2 linked regions of the Macaca fascicularis genome follow. The protein of the gene in region 1 interacts with the protein of each later gene in a biochemical or structural test. Links are inferred from orthologs where the notes say so. Each region holds a gene or a part of one and is shown on either strand. Other genes may lie near its edges.

Evidence for each region. The genes of interacting proteins can lie anywhere in the genome.
Region 2: the proteins of CDK9 (region 1) and CCNT2 form a complex in vitro, tested with the Homo sapiens proteins (4 studies listed by BioGRID, with this or other methods). The link is inferred for Macaca fascicularis from reciprocal best matches to the Homo sapiens genes CDK9 and CCNT2.

The regions. Positions count from the first base shown.
Region 1 is NC_088389.1:16,211,076-16,215,102, reverse strand, and holds the start of CDK9 (cyclin-dependent kinase 9), read left to right. Parts: upstream 1-1,224; 5' UTR 1,225-1,339; coding exon 1,340-1,431; intron 1,432-1,892; coding exon 1,893-1,974; intron 1,975-2,711; coding exon 2,712-2,802; intron 2,803-3,140; coding exon 3,141-3,307; intron 3,308-3,407; coding exon 3,408-3,579; intron 3,580-3,737; coding exon 3,738-3,886; intron 3,887-4,027. UniProt on the Homo sapiens protein: Protein kinase involved in the regulation of transcription.
Region 2 is NC_088386.1:20,742,164-20,746,368, reverse strand, and holds the start of CCNT2 (cyclin-T2), read right to left. Parts: upstream 2,805-4,205; 5' UTR 2,774-2,804; coding exon 2,616-2,773; intron 1,818-2,615; coding exon 1,736-1,817; intron 1-1,735. UniProt on the Homo sapiens protein: Regulatory subunit of the cyclin-dependent kinase pair (CDK9/cyclin T) complex, also called positive transcription elongation factor B (P-TEFB), which is proposed to facilitate the transition from abortive to production elongation by phosphorylating the CTD (carboxy-terminal domain) of the large subunit of RNA polymerase II (RNAP II).

The DNA of each region.
Region 1 (4,027 bases):
TTGTCGCCGTGTGACCTTGGGCAAATGACCTCACCTCTGAGCCTCAATGTCCTCTTCTGCAAAATGGGTTAGTGATCCTGACTATGGGGCTGTTGATTCAGGATTCGGCGGGAACGCCCAGCACTTCCTGAGCACACAAAGAGTGCTGAGAAAATGGTAGCTGTTTTTTGCGATTATTGACCCGGGGCCTGATCAGCTCTGGCGCGACTCGGCGAAGGCGCGAGTCCTGCGGGTCCCATCCCTGCCTCCTGGAGAGCCAGGCTCCAGCGATAGAAGGCCCGGGCGTTGCTTGCTCGTCGCCTCCAGTGCCGCCGCGCCCCCTGGCGGCCGTCGGTTGCCATGTCAACGGAGGGTGGCGGGGACCGGGGGAGGCGGAGGCGGGGGCCGTTTTCTCCTCCCAGGGCCGGAGGACGCTCCCTCCGCGCCTCCCGCCTTCGCCTCTTGGGGGGGCACTCCGAGCCGGGGAGGAAGGGGCTCTCCGCGGCAGCCGGCATGTGGGGGTAAACTGAGGCACGCGGCTGGGCGCCCGCAGCCAGGTGCCGAGCGCGGGGCCCCACCTCCGAAGGCGGAGGAGGGGCCGCGGGCGGTGACGCGCCGAGGGCGGCCGGCGGACAGCGAGCGGGCGGGCGGGCGGGCGGTGGCGGCGGCGGCAGGTGCGGCCGCGGAGGGTGGGAGGGAGGAGGGCGGGGGCGGGCGGAGGAGGAGGGGAAGGCGAGGCCGGGCACCTCCCCCTTTATAACGCGCCCCCTCCCGGGCTCTCGGGCCGTCTCCTAGTCGGCTCTTCCCGTCTCGCCCCCTCGCCCGGCCGCCCCGGGCCCGGGCCCGGCCAGGGAGCCCCCAGGCCGCGGCTCGGGGGCTGCCCCCCCGCCCGCCGCCCCGCGCAGCCCGGCGGAGGCGGCGCCGTCGGAGGAGGAGGAGCAGGGCACTGCGGCTGGCCCCGGATCGGGCGCCAGAGCGGCAGCAGCTTCGGCAGCAGCGGCGGCCCGGGCCCATGCAGCGGGACGCGCCACCCCGAGCCCCAGCTCCGGCGCCCCGGCTCCCCGCGCCCCCGATCGGGGCCGCCGCCAGTAGTGGCGGCGGCGGAGGCGGGGGCAGCGGCGGCGGCGGAGGCGCCTCTGCAGCTCCGGCTCCCCCTGGCCTCTCGGGAACTACAAGTCCCAGGGGGCCTGGCGGCGGGCGGCGGGCGGAAGAGGCGGGGTCGGCGCCGCGAGGCCGGAAGTGGCCGTGGAGGCGGAAGTGGCGCGGCCGCGGAGGGGCCTGGAGCGCGGCGGCGGCGGGACCCGGAGCGGGAGCGGCAGCAGCAGCGGCTGGGGGCGGCGGCGGCGCGTTGGAGGCGGCCATGGCAAAGCAGTACGACTCGGTGGAGTGCCCCTTTTGTGATGAAGTTTCCAAATACGAGAAGCTCGCCAAGATCGGCCAAGGCACCTTCGGGTAAGGCTGGGCCCCTCGGGGCCGGGAGCCGTGGGCCTGCACCCCTAGGGCGGACGTCGGGATGCCCCGGGCCCCGCCCGAGTTGGTAGAGAAACCGTCTGTCCCCGGGCTTGCCCACTGGTCTTTAGGCCGCGCCGCACCCCGCCCCGGCCTGAAGGAGCCGGCTGGTGGGGAGGAGCCTGAGGCCGGTGGTGGGGGCGGGGAGGGGCTGCAGAGAGGCGCCCGTGAGGGGAACGGGATCTCTCCAAGAGACGCCCAAGTGAGGAGAAGGGACTGAGAGAAGGAAGCAGAAGCTCCGAACGAGACAGGGTGCCGGGTGGCGGGGTAGCCGCGTGCCCTGGGTACTTACCCCAGCCCCGCCCGGGAATCTTTTTGCTGCTGCCCCTCCTCCGGTAGTGGGGGAGGGGCGGGCCCTGCGGAAATCGCCTGATGAGCTCTCGGGTCTCCCTTTCCGCCTGCAGGGAGGTGTTTAAGGCCAGGCACCGCAAGACCGGCCAGAAGGTGGCTCTGAAGAAGGTGCTGATGGAAAACGAGAAGGAGGGGGTGAGTACGGATCGGGCGTGCGGGCCAGCCGTCTAACTGCCCAGGACCCCGGGTCGGTTTTCCACCCTGCTGCTTCTAGGAGTCTCAGGTTGAGATTTAATTTTTTTCGTAGTAGTTCAGAAATTTCCAGGGAATTTGGCCTCCACCCTAAAACTAAATGCTTCATTCTTAGGCAGTTATGGGTGAGACCGGGAGGGGGAGTTGATGCATGCATCGTGTGCACTTTAGTTCACGAAGTTAGGAAGCCTTTAAACACCTTTTTTTAGTGTTAAATTTTGCTTAATGTTAAAGAAAGATACATATGCATGCAAATTTTTGAAAAGTGACTAATACTCAGTTATTTAATGTGTTTAAAAGGAGCGGTCCCTCCACCCCATCTTAGCTCAAGTACAACGTCCCATAAACCTTCCTTTTCCTGATGTGCTTTAGCGAGGACATTTTTGAATCGTCATGTTTGTTGCCAACGAAACAGCCATAGAGCTGAAGTTTGAAGGCTGAAACCGCCGAGCATTTAGTGGCTAATAGCAAAGTATTGCTGTTTCAGTTTGTTGTCTCAAATTATCTCCTTGAAGTGTGCATGCTCCTACTATATCCATTTTACAGGCAGAGCTTCTGAGACAGCTGGTTTCAGAGCCCATGATCTTGCTCTGTCTCCCAACTTGCCTCTCAATATAGACCCCAGGGCTGGGCTCTGTACTGCGCTCACTCTTGACCACTTTCCCCTCTCTCCCACCCAGTTCCCCATTACCGCCTTGCGGGAGATCAAGATCCTTCAACTTCTAAAACATGAGAATGTGGTCAACTTGATTGAGATTTGTCGAACCAAAGGTAAGTTGTTTGGATCTTATGAGGAGATGACACTTGTAGCCTAAGGTTTTGTTCGTAAAGTTGGAACTAGACCCACCTAAACTGCCTCCTCTTAACTCAGATGGACCCATGGTGACTGCTTTCTCTGGTCCTCTTTCATCGTAGCTGGTGCTTCCTCGGGGTCTGCCCTGGCCCAGAAGAGGCACTCAGAAAATATTTGACCAGTGAAGGAAGGAACAGACAGATGCTCTGGAGGGCTTGGGTGCCCATGGGTTGGAGCAGGAAGAAAGAAACTGGTTGTGGGAAAGTGTGTTGGGTGTGGCTTTCTTGACTTTTTCTTCCTTGTATTCCTGCCTCAGCTTCACCCTATAACCGCTGCAAGGGCAGTATATACCTGGTGTTCGACTTCTGCGAGCATGACCTTGCTGGGCTGTTGAGCAATGTTTTGGTCAAGTTCACGCTGTCTGAGATCAAGAGGGTGATGCAGATGCTCCTTAACGGCCTCTACTATATCCACAGGAACAAGGTGGGGGCGAGAGCTGGGAGGAGGACCCAGGCTTGGGCTGGCCTTGGCTCCCACTCCCGGGTGGATATCACTGAAGGAGCCACTCTTGCCCTTCTTGCAGATCCTGCATAGGGACATGAAGGCTGCTAACGTGCTTATCACTCGTGACGGGGTCCTGAAGCTGGCAGACTTTGGGCTGGCCCGGGCCTTCAGCCTGGCTAAGAACAGCCAGCCCAACCGCTACACCAACCGTGTGGTGACACTCTGGTACCGGCCCCCGGAGCTGTTGCTCGGTGAGGACTCCCGAGCGGGCCGAGGGGGGTGAGGGCCAGGCATCTACCTGGCCCCCGCCCCCCCACTGCCAGGGCTTCTTGAGCTGCCGGCCCTGGGGCATTGAGTCTCAGGAGGCCTCCGGGCTCAAGGGGCCCTCCTGGTGCGCTCTTCTTCCCAGGGGAGCGGGACTACGGCCCCCCCATTGACCTGTGGGGTGCTGGGTGCATCATGGCAGAGATGTGGACCCGCAGCCCCATCATGCAGGGCAACACGGAGCAGCACCAACTCGCCCTCATCAGTCAGCTCTGCGGCTCCATCACCCCTGAGGTACGGGGTCCCGGTCCCCCGGCAGAGGAGTGGGGAGTGGAATGGAGGGAGCGCTCCTCTCTGGAAGGGAGGCTGGTTTGGTGACAGGGCCTGCCCTTGAGAGCCACACAGGCTATGCGCCAGTCTTGGTTCCATCAGCCA
Region 2 (4,205 bases), on another chromosome or scaffold:
CCAGCACTTTTGGAGGCCGAGGGGGGCAGATCACCTGAGGTCAGGAGCTCAAGACCAGCCTGGCCAACATGGTGAAACCCCCCTCTACTAAAAATACAAAAATTAGCCGGGCATGGTGGCATGCACCTGTAGTCCCAGCTACTCGGGAGGCTGAGGCAGGAGAATAGCTTGAACCAGGGAGGCAGAGGTTGTGGTGAGCTGCGGCAGCACCACTGTACTCCAGCATGTGTGACAGAGTGAGACTCCGTCTCAAAAATAAATAAATAAATAAATAAATAAATAAATAAATAAATAAGTGAAGACTTGTGGCTAGATCATTTATTGGAAGTAGAAACCAGACAGCAAATGAGACATCTGTAGCCATATAAAGAATAGTCAGAACTATTTTGATTTGTAATTTCGACCATTATTATCCAGGATTACGTAAGGAAAACCACATTTATATTAACACTCATTAGTTCACTACTGCCTTTGGAGGCAATTTATATAAAAATTAAATTCTCTTAATCTAAATGTAATCACCAATGGCTTCCTTTCTCTTCCATAACACTATCACTGACCTAAGTTATGCACAAGAAATAACTAGGAAAACTAGAAGCAACAGAGAAAGAACTACGCAGATTTAAAAAAGAAATAGAAGCAAGAAGTCTTCAAAAGACCAAAATGTATATTAAAATATATATGGTCCAAGATAAACCTATATGCCAAACTGATAAACGAAATAGGATCCGAGGAGATTAAGGTAGGACTCAATCTAATCCATGAAGCCTTTCTTCCATTTCAAAAATAATATTCTGAGGATCTTTCCTGGGATTGTTCTCTTAGCAAATAAGTCCTAATGACTATCCACATACAGCAGAAAGTCTTCTTTGGTTCATTTTTCTACACATACCTTTCAGAATAATACTCTAAAAATAACTATGATAAAAAGTAACAAAAACAGAATTAAAGCAGGGTTAAACATTTCTAAATATGCAATTTTCTTTATTCACACACAACACAGTATGCATGTTACTTAACATACACCAAACTCATCTTTCATAAATGAAATTAACATTTCAACAAAATTCTATTACTCTATTTGTCAAGGTTTACAGGTTATGTACCTTAATATTCAAGTGTAAATTTTACTACTAATACATAAACATACTCCTGACGTACTATATCTGAAGCAAGAATTGACGTCTGAATCACCCAAAATTTTAGGAGACAATTGATGCTAACGTGATAAACAGAAAAGTTTGACATCTTAAGAAATTACTGGGTTAGCAAATGAAGAAATGAATTATTTCTGCTAAACAGCTCTTTCAAAAGAATGTCATAATTAATTTAATTTCAATTCACAGTATTTTAAACAATGAGTACAACATAATTAAGATGTATCACAGAACGACCAGACTTGTCCAATTCCACTGTACATTACTACTGAAATTATTCAAATGTTAGGTATAAAATTTAAATGAAGAAAACTTATGTAATAACTCTCTAAAGAAGTAAATTTATTTTTTTAGCCTAAAAGGCCTGGCAGAGCTTAACAGTGCCTTGCAGTTTAATTCATCACAAATTTTAAAAACACAAAAAGCCCGCATTTGAAGCAAAATATTTATCACGTGATATACGTTTACCGTTAATTCAGAACACTAAATCCAACAACGCAATGACCAACTTTTTTTCTGCGTATCGATTTACCCTCAAATTTGCGCATAGTAAAAACAGGCAACAAACTAGTACTTACATTTTTGTTGAATTTGGTGAAAGAATGGTGCATATAAAACCTGTGCATATAAACAATCGCAGTGTTTATTGTAAGCTGAGAGCTGGAACACAGTATTTAGGAAATATCTGACAAAAGCAAGATCTCATTCCCAAAACAATTTTGATGGAAAATTCCCAGGTTCTTTTCCAATACCTCCCATTCAAATCCAAACGCCAAACTAGAAATAAAGAAATAAACGCCCGCGGGGGGTGGGGCGGCAGGAAGAGAATAGACTCTACGCCAAATAAATGGGAGGAAGAACTGCTGATCTTTTCACTCTCACAGCGCTGAGGGCCCTGGAACTATTTATCAATGGCTACGACTGACTAAACTCAAAATGAAACAGTTGAAACGCGCGCGCACACACCCATACAAAACCACGCCAAGAACATAAAAGACCTCCAGTGCGCTCCCAAGGTAGAAGAGAGCCGCCATCAAGCCGGCGAGGAGAGCGGGGAAAGGCTGCGGAAAACACTTAGGCCTTTCAGCATCGCTAACCCTTCTACCTCTCAAACCCTTAGGGGACAGGGACAAGTCCAAGGAGCCGCCCCTTTTCTGCAATAATCCCTAAAATTTCTCTTTCGCCTGAGCCACACTCCCATCCCCCGCCGCCACCACCACGCGCTGCCCGAAACAGATTACACAACGCAGACTCCTGGCCCGCATTCCTGGGGTCCTATCTCCTCCTCCCCTCCTCTGCTAGCCCCTCGCGACTGCCCGAGCTGGAGCCTTACTTCCCTGACCGCGGGGCCGAGGTCCAGCGAAGGCCGAGGCCGGCGGCGCCATGTTCGCGGAGCACCAGGCCCGGCGACCGGGCAAGGGAAACAGGGCGTGAGCGGCGCAGGATAGGAAAGGATACACATTGAGACGCTGTCCCATCTCCTGGATGAGGTTGGCCGCCTGCTGGCGGCACGAGAGCTCTTTATCCGCCTCCACTCCGCAGCGGCGGCTCGGCGTGTTCTCCAGCTGTTCCCGAGTAAAGAACCAGCGAGAAGAAGCTCCACGGCCCGACGCCATGACACTTCCTCCTCCGCCCGCTCCCTCATTCACCCCCCGCCCCTCCCGGCTCGCGGACTCCCAGCCAAGGCGCGCGACCCCGCCCCACTCCGCTCGCCGTAGACCACGCACCGCCCTTTTTCACCACCGCCCCCGCCCGTGCGCATGCGCGGGGTCTGCTCTACCGGCTCGCCCTGGTCTTTTGCTTTCTTTTTCTGTCCTCGGCCTCGCTCTCGCGCGCGGGACCACAATGCTCCGCGCCTCTTGTCATTGGGAGGCGCCGAAGGTGGGGGTCGGCTCGGAAGGAAAAGGTCGGCGCAGCGCATGCCGGGTCTAGGGTTGGCTGGGCGGAGGGGCGGGGCGGGGCGGGGAGAGGAGAGTGGGAGAGGCTGGACCCTGGCCGGTGTGGAGAGAGGCGGTCGGGCGGCTGCGCTGTGGGGTCTGGGCGTGGACTTCGAAGGCCCGTCGGGCGCTTCCTTTGACGGGAGGTCTAGCGGCCCGTTAAAAAGAGAAAAATACCCTTCACTGTCGCAGCCTCACGCCACTACCTCCATTTTCCTTTCGGGTGGGTCCGCGCAGTCTCGTAGGCGTGCGACTCCGGCCTCCGCTACCAACAGCCTCCGCCTAGCGCGCGGCTCTGGCGTGGAGCTGGCCGGGAAAGAGTGCAGAGGAAGTCACGCTCCATGGCTGTCCGCGCCTGAGTGCTTTTTTCACCTTACGTTATGTTGTTTAAATCCCAGACCACTCCGTCCGTGGGTTTATTTTTATTTTTTCAAATTACTTGCCAAACGCTATCCAACTAGCAACGAGAAACTGAATTTCTAAATGAGGTGTTGAATCTAGACGAGGCGTGTTTTCAGACCGTGCTGTGGCTTCTGCGAGACAAGGTTGGGGAGAAGCAGATACGTGCAAGAGGAACTGGGTTAAAATTTTATCTTTAGGATTTGATGCGGGAACATCCCACATACCTGTTGATTAACTCCTGCATTTCTTCCTGTAAGAAAGCTCCACAGAGCTTCACTCGGAGTTTGTGTTGTGAATAGGGTTTCCAAGTTTAAAGTCCTAAGTATTTGGAGGCCGGGCACGGTGGCTCACGCCTGTAACCTCAGCGCTTGGGGAGGTCCAGTGGGTCGATCACTTGAGGTCAGGAGTTCGAGCGCAAGGGCAACATGGTTAGACTCTGTCTCTACCAAAAGTACAAAAATTAGCCGGGCTTGGTGGCGCGCCTGTAGTCCCAGCTACTCCCGAGGCTGAAGTGAGAGGATGGCTTGAGCCCAGGAGGTGGAGGTTGCGGTGAGCTAGATCTCGCTGCTGCACCCTATCCCTCCTGGGCGATAGAGCAAGACCCTGTCTCAAAAATAAAAAAAATAAAATATTTATTTGCCAAAGACCATGAAGGCAAGTGATTTTTTGGGGGCTCCCACGCTCAGTATATGCATTGCACAAGAATATT